2 linked regions of the Caenorhabditis elegans genome follow. The protein of the gene in region 2 interacts with the protein of the main gene of each other region in a pairwise test. Each region holds a gene or a part of one and is shown on either strand. Other genes may lie near its edges.

Evidence for each region. The genes of interacting proteins can lie anywhere in the genome.
Region 1: the proteins of F10E9.3 (region 2) and R02F11.1 interact in a two-hybrid assay, tested with the Caenorhabditis elegans proteins (one large-scale study listed by BioGRID).

The regions. Positions count from the first base shown.
Region 1 is NC_003283.11:4,796,874-4,804,470, forward strand, and holds R02F11.1 (CC domain-containing protein), read left to right. Parts: upstream 1-4,220; 5' UTR 4,221-4,274; coding exon 4,275-4,356; intron 4,357-4,400; coding exon 4,401-4,568; intron 4,569-5,256; coding exon 5,257-5,537; 3' UTR 5,538-5,811; downstream 5,812-7,597. Other genes in the region: R02F11.3 (Cation efflux protein cytoplasmic domain-containing protein), read right to left, coding at 6,047-6,208, 6,394-6,812, 7,179-7,566.
Region 2 is NC_003281.10:8,308,094-8,315,557, reverse strand, and holds F10E9.3 (uncharacterized protein), read right to left. Parts: upstream 4,552-7,464; 5' UTR 4,551-4,551; coding exon 4,190-4,550; intron 3,949-4,189; coding exon 3,331-3,948; intron 3,283-3,330; coding exon 3,173-3,282; 3' UTR 2,971-3,172; downstream 1-2,970. Other genes in the region: sas-4 (Spindle assembly abnormal protein 4), read left to right, coding at 694-982; F10E9.2 (uncharacterized protein), read right to left, coding at 1,272-1,487, 1,535-1,659, 1,704-1,982, 2,031-2,112, 2,167-2,214, 2,686-2,758, 2,802-2,839; F10E9.4 (uncharacterized protein), read right to left, coding at 5,883-5,991, 6,045-6,150, 6,193-6,308, 6,400-6,513, 6,665-7,008; F10E9.5 (uncharacterized protein), read right to left, coding at 7,149-7,351, 7,405-7,464.

The DNA of each region.
Region 1 (7,597 bases), on a different chromosome or scaffold from region 2:
AAATAATTCCCATCTATTTTCCAAAAAACCAGCATAATCTAAAATTAATTCTGCTAGATAACATACCGACATACTTGAATGATATCCTCTTTTTGTGTGCATCAGTGTGTGACTACTTGCCCATAAAGAACATTTATTTGGAGCTATTTTGAGATAAGAATTCACACTTTTACAAGAAATCATCTGAATTGTCATGGTAACAAATAGTGGTCTAGAAATATCTGTCAAAATAATTTCTCTCTTTTCCAGTAAATATTTATTCTGAAAAAAGGTTTCCAGGGCTTGCCACGTCAAGGAATACATTTCAGCTTAACACGGCTAAAATTTCAAATGAAACATAAGACAATAGGAAGTGAAATTTTGAAATAGGTCACTACAAAAAAACTCAGCGGCAGAAAAAGGTCTGTCTGGAATTTTTTTTTCCAGTGAATTTTTTTACAACTCCAGAGGCGCTTAAAATTGCTATACATAAAGTGGATTTTTGCAGACTTTTAAAGGTTTTATGAATTTCTAGCGGTAGTAAAACATACGGGAAGCTTTTTGGGGATAGATTTTTATTTCTGAATTTTTTAAATTATTTTTTCCCTTCTTTTTATATTTATTGAAAACACCTGGATATTTCATAGTTTGCAAAACAATTTAAAATAAAAATTATAATATATTATAAAAATTTAACTTTTCTAGCAGGGTTACAAAGATTAAGGCAGGATTACAAAAATGTGTCCAACTGGTAGTTAGAAAAAATTTTTTTCTAGATTTTTTCAAAAAAAATGTTCCAAAAACCTTTCAAAATGTGCTGTCCTTGTGCGCTGTTAAAATTATCAAAAATTTGCGCAAATCCACGTTAGAAGCAGTTTTAGGTGCCTATAGAAGAGATCTATAGATAGTGAAAAAACGTAACTAATTTTTTGGTTGACTTGGATGAAAAATTCTTTTTTTTTCGAAAGAAAAGTTCTTGAAAAACTTCCAAAATATGTTACCCTCTAATTAGACGCCAATAAATTATTGTTTTACTTGAACCAGTTTTAGGTGTCTATTAATTAGTGAAAAATTTCAATGAAAAAATATCATATCGACCTTTTTCTAGTTCAAAGTGCTCTTCTGTAGCTAAATTTTTCGCACTGACCAAATTAAAAATTTCTCTTTCAAATAATTTTTTCAGAAATGCGTTAAATGCATTCTATGTGACTAATGTTTTTTTTGAGGTTAAATATTGACTGATTGCTGGTTATCAAAACTTTAAAAATGTCTAACTAGCCGGTTGAAGTTATCGGGCTCAAAAAGTCCAAGACTCTAGTCTGCACACCGGCACTTGTTCTAACAAAAACCTTACAAAAAAATCGTGTAACTTATACAAATGAGCTTTTTCCTCATTTCCGTGGAAGAAAATTTCCGGATTCCCTTTTGTAATTTCTTTATGTGTACACTTTTCCCCGCATTCATCGAATCATAACCAAAATGTTTGCTGCGGCGGGCGGCAGCGTCGGTCAAAGAATGGCATTTCGGCGGCGGCAACGGAATCATCGGATCTCATGCAAAACACTCGGGTGAGGCTCATTCTTTCGCAGAAGTTGGCTGATGATGATGAGGATGATAATGATGATGATCCGTGTTTGCTCTGAACGACTGGGGAGACATGCGAGAGAGAGTCGCCCTTTAGAGAAGCAGGATCACTTGAGCACACATACAAAATTCCCGAGAGTTTATCACTGATAAATGGACGGGCGGGGGGAAAAGAGTGGACTGTCCGAAATTTGTGCGCAGAGAAACATTTATGTGCACTCTCTCTCTCTCTCTCTCTCTCTCTCTCTCAAAAGTTTGTATGCAGAGCTTGGTAGTACAAGCCTGTCGACACAATCGGAATGTTGAAATTTTTCGAAAAATCGAACAGTGATAAGGGATATAGGATAAGAGTGTAGGGAGAGGAGCGTGCTTCTACTATTTTGGGACAAAGTCGGAACTTCACTGCTCTCCAGATGTTCAATGTTTATCCAGGAACACTAAAAATAAAACTTGTTCGAGTGGGTAGAAAAGTTGAAGTTCCTGATAGACATATCGCAAATTACCTGAGGAAAGAAATCCTCCCAATTTCCAGGCAAAAAAAATCGTTTAAAATGTCCGAACTGCCATATTTTCCCTATTATACATACTTGTAGAGAAATAGTTTGAAATCGCAATTAAAAAAATGAAACTGTAGATTATCCTGTTTACCTGCGTGCCTACCAGGGGTGTGCGGCAAATTTACCGAATTTGCCGAATTTGCCGAGCACGGGAAATTTCAAAAAAGTAGATTTGCCAAATTTGCCGAGCTCGGCAAATTTCAAAATTTGTCGCACACGTCAAAAATTTGACAGTACAATTTTGACTAAAACTATTGATTTTTTCGCCAAAAAATTACAAAATTGAGTTATTTAGATGCATAAGCAAACATACTACACGGAACTTATTCGGAATCCAGGTGATTGTTCAGAATTCAGTAGTTTTGGTGCTCCAAAAAGCATCAATGAGTATTAATTTTTTGGAGTTTGTTGAGCACGGCTAATTTGCCGTAGGTAGGCACTTTGATGCCTCGGCGTCCCATATGCAGAACAAGCTCAAAACAGACACAACTCTGGAATATGTACGGCAATTAAAACTGAGCTTTTTCTGCGTATCTAAAGGTCAGACACAGCAGTCCAGCTCCAATTTAAGCCTTGTTCGAGCCGGGGACTGTGACCAATAGTCCAGTCGTGGATTGCTCTACTTCCCACTTAAGGCTGGATGGACCTAGTGGGAGGTAGGACTTGAACTGGTGACCTCTAGATTGCTGGCGGCCACCACTGGTTCATTGTGTCCGGACCTCGATCGCGATGTCTCCACTGAGACATTATGCGTACATCTTAAGTTGTTCGAAGACTCTCGCATGACTTCCATGTTTCTTGTTCCAATAATTCCCAGACGTCACAAAGCATATTCCACGTGTTTTTTTTAAACCGCGTTTGGACGAGTGTTGGGAAAAAAAGAGAGTTGTGCTCTCATAATGGAGGTGTATTATGTGCTCACTTTCTCTCTGAGAAGTTGCCTCTTCAAGGATGATGGCTTCCCGTCTCCGGCCGTGGTCTACACCACCCGCGTGTGTTGCATCCCAAAACCGGATACTCTTACCTGCCGGTCAGTTGGCCCGGCAGCTCTCGCTGTCTCTCTGACGCCACCGCTGCCACTCGAGTGCACCGAGTATAAAGAGCACAGTGCTCCGACACTTTAGAGTCAAATTTTCTTCCGATGGCAAATCGGCTACTCACACATCAGGAACAGATTTTGCTCTGTTCTCTGTTTTTAAGATTTTCTAGACACCGTAGTTTCCCTATTAGACATGCAACCCTTGCTCTATTTTGTTATATCTCTGTTCCCTTCGGTTCTATCAAAAAACTGTCATTAACTGACAAAACACGTGCAAAATATTTATCTACAGTTAGACAGTAAACGCCGCTTAAGTAGATCAATGAGTTTCATGTCCAATATGCTAAATACGGTAGGAATCATTTTTTCAACTATTCTAATTTTTCTTGTAGCATTAAAAAAACTATCAACTAACATCCTAACTACTATTTAAGTATCAAGCATTGCAAAAATTTAAAGAAGCAAAAGGCTCTTACTATTAGAAAGCTATATGTTTTCCATTGACCACAGACTCCGGGCTTTTCATAAAAACCTTAGCAATCCGAATATAATTGGAAAGTTTCTATATATGCTTCAACCGTGATAAGATAAGTTGAACGACATTTTGACAAGCGCGCGCTCACAATCTTTTGGTGTATGTGTGTGTGTGTGTGTGGGGTCACTCAAGTATTTGAACATCAATCGTCCACTTCATTTTACAAACACATAGACTGGACTGAGCCCGATGGGGGAAATGAGAGAGTTTCGTGCCGCGCGCAAAGAGCACGTCGCCGCGCGGAGGCGCCAGAGTCTAAGCTAACACAGAAAGTCGGAGGGAGACGAAAAAGAGAAGACGGTCAGTTAGTGTCCCCTCCCCTCTCTCCTCACTGTTACGTACAAATGACCATTTAGTCTTGCTGCTCCATCGGGCTTCTCCTTGAGAACAAATCTTCAGATTTATTTTTGAGTTACCTTACTCTACCTACTAATTTTACAGTTTTACTTACATATTACTCTTTATTATTTATCTGAATCTTTATTAGTTTCCTGATATAATATTATTATTATTATTAAAATTTCAGGCCAGCGCAGGGTCAGGTGTTCCTACTTGTCTTAAAACCTTCAAATAACTCATTATGAAGCAACTCGCCATCTCCTTCTGCATTATCCTCCCCCTCGCCTGCTTCTGGGTACTGAACGCAGAAGACGCGAAAGAAGGTATGTTGTCACTCACTCTTCAACTCCTAAAATCCGACTTTCAGCTCCAGAAATTCGTGAAGCCAACTCCACAGTATTCCGTCAGAAGAGGCAGTTTGGATGCCCATCCAATTGCTATTCCTCATGCAGTTCCTCGTCCCAGTGCCAGAGATATTCTGTCGCATCTGTCTGTGTCCAAGGATGCTGTTGCCCAGGAAACAATAACCTTGATAGTAAGTTTTTTTAATATGAAGGTTGTGTAGGAAGTTGAAAAATTGCTTTTTTTCATAAATCAGAGATGTTAAAGAAAACGTCGCAATTATTAAAAACTAGGAGCGGGGATAGCTCAGTCGGTAGTATTGATAATTAGCAATCTAGAGGTCACGAGTTCAAGTCCTGGCTTCCCTAGGTTCAGTGTACCCAGATCCGTTCATATCGCTTAAGTAACGCATCGTCCTTTAACCCTTTAGTAAGGAATATGAGATAAAAGTTGAATGCTGACACCTTTAAAATTTAGATCTCCCTTAGTTCAAACCTCAAACCTTATCAAAATCATATCAAGAGATATCAAGAATCCAGTCACCGTTCCAATTTCTCAAGTGTCCCCGCCGTTCCCTTCCGGTTCGAGCAAACACACACACTGATTACCTAATGATTGCTACAACTCCCGGGGAGACGCTGCTTAGTCCCTTTTGCGGTGATGGAGACACCTTCTTATACGGCTCAACATAAATACAAAATATTTGCGAAGTTTCGCGGGGTGTTTGCGTTTGCTCGGTGCGTGCTGCTGTGCTCTGTGTCTCACGAAGTCGGCGCGGTTTGGACAACACGCACGAACCTATCTTTTTCTATCTTTAGCTCGTATCAGAACGAGTTCAAATATGGGTGTGGAAAGTCGTCTAATTCCAACAAAAATTTCAGCCGCCTGCTCCGGAGGACCAGCCGTCGCCGCCTGCCTCGGAGGACTCTGCGGACAAGGATTCTTCTGCTCGAGCAACAACTACTGCTGCAGATGCCAATCCGGAAACAGCACGGGACCATGTGTAAACCAGGTCTGCCCAACCGGATTCATGTGCAACACCAACAACTACTGTTGCCCACTCGGATCCGGAGGAGTCCTCGGATCATGTGTCAACGGAGTCTGCCCAACTGGATACACCTGTGGAGCTGGAAACTTGTGCTATTTGAGCAGTGGAAAGTAAAAAAATGGAATTCAATTTTTCCCTTTTTTCATGCGACAAATTGCCCCCAGTCTTTCTATATTTTTATATATTTTTTTAATATATTGTACTTTCCTTCTCCGTTCTCTGACTCTCTGCTCCTTTTAAATTATTCTAATCTATTTGAAACGAATCGTTCCCACCACCAAGACAACAACATCAACAACAAACGAAATCCCAAAAAAATATTTGAATTGTTTTTAAATTTAATTTGTTTATTTATTATTTTATTTTAATTAATGAAATAAAAAAAGAAACATTTGACACTCTACGACGATATGTGAGAAAAAATATTATAGTTTGCAAATCAAAATTTTCAAAATTTCAAACAAAAAAAAGTATAGTTAATTATGCGAAAAAAAAACATTGAGAGATGCTGATGATTTCTGTCATGAAACCGGAAAAATATGAAATAAAACTTAAAGTAGGGGGGCACTGGGAAGAAGAAAAAAACAAAATCATAATGCAAATGTGCTCTAATAATAACTAATTCAAACAATTTTATGCTCGTCGTGAGGATGATGATCATAATCATAGTCTGTATGAACAAATGCACGTTCAACTTCCGGCAAGCTTTCGATGTTTGATTGGAGGGTCTCACTGATGTCATGGGATTCTTTGAGGATCATATTCTCGTCGAGCACAATGTGCACCTGGAAATATTACAGATTTTAGAGTAGCACAATAATTCAGTTGTAAGCTCAGCCTCTTCAGAAATGTGCGATACGGGCTTATGTTAGGCCTAGGTGTAGGTTTAGGCCTAGGCTTAGGCTTGGGCTTAGGCTCAGGCTTAGGTTCAGGCTTAGGCTTGAAGAATCCAGAGAAAAAATATTCTTACCTCAACTAAAAACTTGCTTCCAAAATGGTACACATAAACCGTATCAATATGTGAAATCCGAGCATCATGATCCAAGCAGACTTTGATGATCCTATTAATGAACTCTGGCTCTGCAGTTTTACCCGACAGCTTTGCCAAATGCTCCCGTCCAGTTTGCACCCAGGTATACAAAATGTACATAGAAACCACAATAGCACCGGCTGGGTCAAAGTAGTACGAGTACTTGGTGCCGAGCCAGGCACAGATCAGGGCGACCGTGTTGGAGATGCAATCGTTGCGATGGTCCATTGCGAGCACGTTGACCGATGGTTCCTTGTATCGTTTACAGAATAGGTAGAGGGACAGCTTGACGAGAACTGTTGACACCATGATGACTACAGAGGTGATGGTGACGTTGAGCTTGGGTTCTTCACCGATTCCTGGAAATTTTTAGGATTGTAACTTAAAATCCATTGCTGAGGGAGGGGAGCATAGATTGAAGGATCAGGGAAGGATCAGAGGTAGAGCTAGTACATCCTGTAGGAAAACTTTGAATTCACTTTTTTAAAAATTTTATAAGTTCATCACTTTGTGGGCGAATATATTGAAGATTTCCTCCAAAACTGAGAACCGCAAGACTAATCAGCTCAGTTTCCAACCAATCAGACAAAATGAGTTCGAAGACGCTGATTGGTTCGAAAATTAGAAGGGCTCCTAGGTTTGGAGCAATTTCAAACAATGTTTTTAATCAGAATTTCAGACTATTTTGAGTCTTTCCATGCAAAATTCAATTCAGCATTTCTTACCATAAAGATGGAATTGAATTCCATCATGAATTCCTCTCACCGACGCAATGATCAATTGAATCGACGCCATTCCCATGATCACACTGATCAAAATCAAGGACAATGGCTCCAACCTGGTCCTTCCTCTCGGATACAGATAAGGATCCCTTTTCTTGATCATTCTTTCTGAAAGTGAAATGACAAGTCCTGAAGTGATATCTACCACAGAATCAACCATCGATGAAATGATCGACATGGATCCTGAGAGAACGGATGCGACGACTTTTGCAATCATCAGAAGGAAGTTCACTGCTAATGTGATGTTGGCCATTCTCGCGGCCGTATTTGATTCGTCGTCTTTTTTCTCGTCAACTGATTTTTCTTCGGTGTCTGTGCGTTCCATTGGTTTCTGAAATATTTAGAGAAAATAGTTGTTTGTT
Region 2 (7,464 bases):
TTACCCAGATGTTTAATTTAATTTAATTTAATTTATTACGATAGAAGATATCGTTAGGTAGAAAAAAAAACACACACACATTAATAGATACAAACCATCACAAGTGGTTACATAAATAAATTACATAAATAAAACGAAACAAAAATAAAAAAAGAGATGTGACATTTTGCGGCAAAAAATGTCTCGGCACGATAAAATTTAGTTAAATGGGAAAAGGCGTGCGCCTTTAAATATTACTGTAGTTTAAAAATCGCGTTACTGTCGAATTGTTGTTTGCCCCTTTTTTTTTTGATAAAAACATGTTTATTAGTTTAGAAAAAAGATAAATAAACCAAACTACAACAGTCTTTATAGGCGCACGTATTTTCACATTTAAAAATCTGTCCTTTAACGAAAAAATTGTAAAATTTGGCGCCTTCAAAGAGTACTGTAATTTCAAACTCAATTTGAAACAGAATTTTCATCGATTTTCCTTAGTTAGTTTTTCGATGAATTTTAATTTATTCATTAAAAAAACTCAAATAAGTATAACGATATTTTAGCAAATAATATATTTTCAAACAAAACATGTTTCTATAATTTTTGTCTAACCCAAAATTTAGGAATATGACCTCAATTCTTCAAAAAGTTAGTAAAACAGGTTTAAAACCCCGTTATAAATATTTTTGCCTCTGAAACCTATCAAATTTTCAGATACAATCCCGGTACACACACATATCGCGACAATCAATGTCGCTACGTTCTCGTCACTGATTACAACGATTTTGAGCTCGTTGAGCCAGAATTCCGTCTTCGTTGGTATCAGGGAGATCCGACTGGTCTCAACAATCAGTATATTCTCAAGATCATTGGACGACCTGAATGCAGCGAGAAAACATTGAGACTTGAAGTGAATCTTTCCACGTGTGAAGGTACATTGGAAACTGCAGAGATGATAGGCGATAAACGTCGGAAAACAACTTTGTTCCAGTGGAAAAAATGAGAAATTCCAACCCCTTTATTTTAACTTGTGGTTTGTATATCTATTCCATTGACATTATTTTTCACTCCTGAGTGCTCTAAAATTATAATTAATTCTACCTCCTGTAAAATCATATCAAATAATTCAATCATTTTTTACTATCTCAATTTTCACTTGCCCCCTCCCCCATTTCTTTCATATTGATCTTCATGGTTATTTTATTGACTGTTATAAACAATTTTAACTTTAAATGTTCTGCACAAAATTCGGGATTCAGATTGCAAAGATTTATTGGAACACTGGAGACATTTCAAGATGATCTCGGATCTTCTGCACGACTCGACGGACTCAAACTTTGAACATTTTCGTGTGAGATTTTCTTTTCTTTTTCCGCACTTTTCTTCTCTTTCTTCTCCTCACCACTTCCATCTTTCTTCTGATCATCTACATCCAGGAGCAGCATCTTGTGACGTGTAATCTTTAGATCACTGAGACGAGTTTTCGAATCGCCGACTTCAAGAGGAGCCTACAATCATCCTTATCTTTTTATATTCAGAATATCAAAAAACTAACCGGGTCACCTCGACCAGAAAACTCGCCTTCGCCTTCTTCACTCGATGATTTCTGAGTTCTCAGAGTAATCATATGGGTCTTACCGCTGACACCAAGAAGCGTGTAGAGTCGAGCCATCAGATCGTCTGAACGATATAATTGTTTAAAAATCTTAGATTCTTAAGCTTACGATAAGTGGCATCCGTTGGAAGGCTGACAACGACTGGCTTTGAAAGGTACAAAAAGTACCAAAGACGTTGATCCGGAACCTTCTTATGTCGACGAGTCCTTCCACTTTTTGATTTGTTCACAGATCCTTTCCGAGTAGCACGAGTACTTCCTCGAATCTTTCCACGTTCAGCTCCATTATTCGACAATTCTCCAGTATGCTCAGCAATTTGTTGCGGTGAGACTTCACGCGTAAAAGCATTTGACGGAGATGTCGAAGTGGCACAAGACGAGTGGTTTTCTGAAAGATTGAACTCTTTTTATCAGATTTCTGATCAATTTCTGTTACCTTTTGGCTGAAGTGGACTACACACCAGACAGTAGAAGTGCCCACAATCAAAACGATCCAAATTGTTTAACCCAATGATTAACTGGAATAATTGGTTTGATCTTTCAAAAACCTGCATTTTGTAAAACAATCTTACTTTCTTGCATGCATCACATTGTAATGAAAAATCCATTTCATCTCCGACCTGAAAAATATTAATTTTCAATATATCCAGATTTTAAAGTGAAAGCCGCCCAGAATTCATGCACAAATAAATATACCTCGCCACAGCAGGTTACTGTAGCTCGTGTAGATCTATGGACCGCTAAATATCTTTTTCCAATGAAGCGCCAAGATTTTTTTCAAATAAAAATATTATGCAATAGCGACCCAGAATTGACAAGTTACAGTATTTCGTTGTTCGCGCGGCGAGACACTGCCGCGTAAGTTGACGGAAATTCTCATTTTTATGTAGACGTCTACGTAATATAGCCACAGCTCCAGTAGGCTTAACTTATCGTAATCTTAACGTAAACACGAAGACCATTCAAGAATATCGCTAAATTAGAAAAGTTACCAGGACAATTTATTTCGCTGTAAAACCTACTCTGTGCGTTTAAGTTCGCGTTCCAGAAAACTGTCAATATTCGAAACCTTTAATTCAAACGAAACTCACATCATCTTCAGTTTTTTCATTTGCTGAAGAAGTTGATGAGAGGACTTGCTTGGATGAGGAATTCATTCCAGTACTGAACAAATTTCAATTATCAGTGTTGAATCAAAACGACTTACTGGATTTTAGAGAGACTCGCTTTTTTCTTTTGCGACATCACTAAAATCGATTCTTAATCGGATAAAATACAAAATGATTGAAAATTGGAACTTTTTTCTTTTTTCCTGTTCCTGTAGTTTTTGTTGTTGTTATCTACGCTTTCGATCTTAACAATAAGCATCCACGTTCTATTAAATATATCATTTATTTATTATAAATAATATTCTGACTTGAATCATGTTTTTGTTATTTTTCAATTCAATGATGCCATGGATAAAACAAGAAGGGACAATTATTGGAAACGAGGAATGAAGTAGATTTTAAAAACGGGGTCAATTTGGAGAGTCTGAGGAAAAGAGAAAAAAAAATGATATAGTGACGATCAATACATTTAATTAATATTATATCTTGTGATAAGGGAAAAGAGGTCTGATGAGAAATTAGTGTATTCATCCTTATCCCGAGATTGTAGAGTGTTGAGACCATTAATAATCATCGAACCTGGAAAATTAACAAATTATAATTTTTTATACAAATTAAATTACTAACCAAGAAGCATATTGTGATGGCTGGATGCTCTTGCAATATTTCCTATGCTTTCCTTTTGAGCATTAGCCAATTCCATAGCTTCTTGAATTGAATCTCCATTAGTTTCGTGATCCCCTCCAACCATCACTTGCATTCTGACTGGCGACTGATCACGGAGCATTGATTGCACATCTATTATACCATTGGACGATGAAGTTGATGTTCCAGAAGATGCAGATGAACCTGATCCTGGAGCTGGTGACACTGCGGAAGGCGGCACTTTTCGGAAGTTTTCACCGGCTCTCCCCCCATTGTAGGCTACCAGTGAAGATCTTTTCGGGTTCTTCCCATCTTTATCCTTATCGAAATGTCTTTTTCGGCTTTCAAGAAGTCTGGCAGGCCCGAGCGACGAATTTGACCCAACAACATTTATGCTTCCCGCAATATTACGAAGAGATCGAGGCATCGGCGGTGGGACCCCATACTTGCGAATCCCAACTGAAGGTGATCCGGAAGTAGACGCTGATGTACCAGGGGCTGATGAAAGATGACGAAGAGATGCAAAACGTGTTGTAGCAATTGGAGGTGTCTTTGAAGGTACAGGGCGAAGGTTTTTGTTCAGAAGAAGAGCCTTTGGAACTGAAAATTCAAATTTTAAAAAATGGGAGGTTGTCGATTATAAAATAGGGAAATTGCTATGTATCTGGGCATTTTCCAGAAAATTATATTAAACTTCAAAGTTAGTAACTAATAATGTACAATATTTCGATTAAAAAAATTAAATTTTTATACATTTACTTACTGGTAATGCAAAATAAAATTATCAAATTTTTCTCAAGATCGAATATTTCTTATAGAATACGATTTTTTTTCAACTCACTTGCCCCTCCACGATTGAGTCCAAGTGTATTTCTGGTTGATGAAGACTCCGATGGTGGACTATTCCGACGATTTTTGACAGTAGCATCATCTGCGGTGAAAAATTGAGATAATGCTTCAAGAATACTTTCATTCTTCGTTTTACTTCCATCAATATCATCTTCCTTTTGTGCATCTTCTTCTTTTCCATCTCCATCTGTATCATCATTCTCTCCACAACTGGCTTCTCTCTCTAAAATCGGTGGTGGACCATCATCATCTTCTTCTTGTATCGGTGCAACTTCTTTATCTTCTTCAATTTCTTTTTTGATTTCCTTTTCTTTTTTCGCGAGGCTTGAACCGCGCCGGGTTTTTGAAGCCATTCTGTAAAATAATTCATTATAAATACTATGTATTTTTGAACCAAAAAAGGAGAAAATACAAAAAAAAAATTTTCTCAACAAATAGAGCTGTAATAAAACAGAAATCGCGGATTTTTCAAATTTAAATTCATTAGATTATTTTTATGGACTTGTTAAATACTAAATTCAACTTGATTTCACATTCATCAAAACGTGGTAAATTTATATTTTTGCTCAACATGGTAACGAATTGAAGCGACCCTAACCAATTAATTTTCTTTTTTCATGGCTTATTGAAGAATTAACTATAAAAATGGTAAGATTCGATATTTAAAAATAGTATTTCTCAATTTTAAGATAGCTGAAAACGATAATAAATCGGAGTGCATAGTACAAAGATATTGATCAATTGGGCTAAAGATTATATCTATTCTCGAAATGGTATGAGAAAATTCACAAATCTGGGACAAATTTAAAACGCTGAAAACCTTATGAATCCAAGCAAACTTGAAACCAAGTGAAAAAAGAAACGAACAAACCGCGGCAACGATGCGGTAAATAGTGTTTGGGTGGTAGAGACATAGACTAAAGGCGGTGGCTGTTGGTTGTGTCTCGCAACGAATAAGAGTGGTACGGTAGAAAATTGGGGTTCTGTAGGTGCGTCCATGTATCGATTAAAACTGGTTGGAAAACAGGGAGAATTATGATTTTTAAGCATTTGATGAAACTGATAGATGGGAAGAAGAGTGATTGTTTCTATCAATTGTGATAAGTTGGATTTCAATGTTGAAGCATGAAATTTCTTATTTCTGACTGGCTATATGAAAATTTTACATGATTTGACGATATCGACTAGGAAACTAGAAACTTATAACTGAAAAGCTAAAATATTCTCCTGATATTAATACTTTAAAAAAAGTTCAGATTTCACACTAATAACTCATTCAAATTTCCATATTCGAGTGATCCAACAATTTTTTTAATTGGAGCTATTGAGATCAATATCCTAGGAAGTACATAGTCATAATAATATCAAAAATTGAATAAAGAACGAAAATCCTTGTCACAAAGTTTTGATTTCTACTTTTCTCTCAGTCTCTTCGTTTTCGGATAAAAATTGAAGAAAAGAGAGCCGTAGACGAATAACAAAAACGGCTGGCACAATGCCAAAGTATCTTTGAAGATTAAAAAACTGAAGCAACTATAGAAAAAATACGACAATAAATTTGATAGGTTCATAAAGATTAAAAATAAAGTCAGAACCAAAACAGAAAAAATAACAAAAAGGTAAAAAAGAGTACAAAAATCAACAAAAATTACTAGAACAAATAATGAATAACAATCAGAGACAGATTATTCTTCCATGTCTTCATCTTCATCTTCTTCTTCTTTTACTTTTTCCTTCACATCCGTTTCTTCATCGGCTTCATCTTCTACTTCTTCTTCTTCTTTTATTTCGGCTCTGAAAAATAAAATATTAGTTTTTAATAATAATAATCTTCAATGTGAACCCACTTTTCAATCATTTTCACATATTCTCCTTTCAAGTGACATAATGAACTTTTGATTCGGATTCCGCTGTATTTCACTAGAATCTTGTCATCAATTGCAACTTGATCTTCTGAAAATTTCTCCGTTTTCAAATAGTCTAATTTTCATTTACCTGAAGTCTTGTCATTCTGCTTAATGTGAATTGTGATCATATCCATGACAACACCGACCATAAGACCTTCTTGCACATATTTCACTTTTGCTTCGTATTGATCTCCGATTTTTGGGCTGGAAATTAATTCAAAACTATTGAAATTACGAGAATCATTTTTGATAGTCTAAAAATAAATGAATTCCCTATGAAAATTCAAAATCTTACATGAAAACAATTTGATTAATTGCAACATCGGTATGGAAAGCATATTGGTCGGAAATGACACGTGGCGCAGATGCAAGATCGACACTTCCAACGGCTACGACGATTCCTTTGTATCTGAAATCAAAAATAAATATTCGTTGTGAATTATAAAATCGTTATTCAGTTTTCAGCATTCATATCATTATACAAAAAAATGTTTTTCTTGAGAATAACGAATAAAAATTAAAAATTAACACTCTTTGTATATTTTAACTCATCAACTTACTCTTTTCTATACTTTCCGACAGTATTTTGAGCAATCCAATCACATGCTTCTTCCATTGCAGCTTTTCCAGACATGTGATAAGGTAAGGAGATATGACGTGGCATCACTTTTTGAACGAGTTGACCTCCTTTTCCCTTTCCGCGCATCTTTTTGATTAGTTTGAGTCCATCTTCATAATTCATGAAAAATTGTTCTTTGAAACTTTTCTTTGATGTTTTAATGTTTGCTCCAAGAGTTCTCAATCGATATTCTTTCTTCTCCTTTTTATCCTTTGGTGCTTCACTTTCTGTTTCCTGGACTTCTGTAGTTCCATCCTCGTTCTCGATAAACTTTTTCTTTCCCATTTTTACAATTCTGTAAAGATTGGTAAACATTTGATATGAAATAATTAACGAAACAGGTAAACATTTTCGGCTCGAAAACCAGTGCATAAAAACAAATACAGTAGACACGAAAAATGCTTTTAGCTTCATATAAAGAATAGTCAAAATCTGAATGGAATATTAGGCCAGAGCTGAGGATTTTGTGAATATTCGGATTCAAACTTCATTGCCAATGTACTTTCCATTGCTAGAATCTTTGTCGCTGATTCTCCGTAATCTTTTTTCGCTTTCTCTCTTTTTGCTATGAATTCGGCGCTGGCGTTTCGGTGATCCGTTGATTGCTCTATACGCCCACGTATACTAACTAAAAATGCCCATTAAAATTTATCAAACCGTTAAATAAACCAATTTTCTTACTTTTATCAACGTTAACGTATTCCTCTTGACTTTTTGAACTTGATTGCCCTTCTTTCCGTT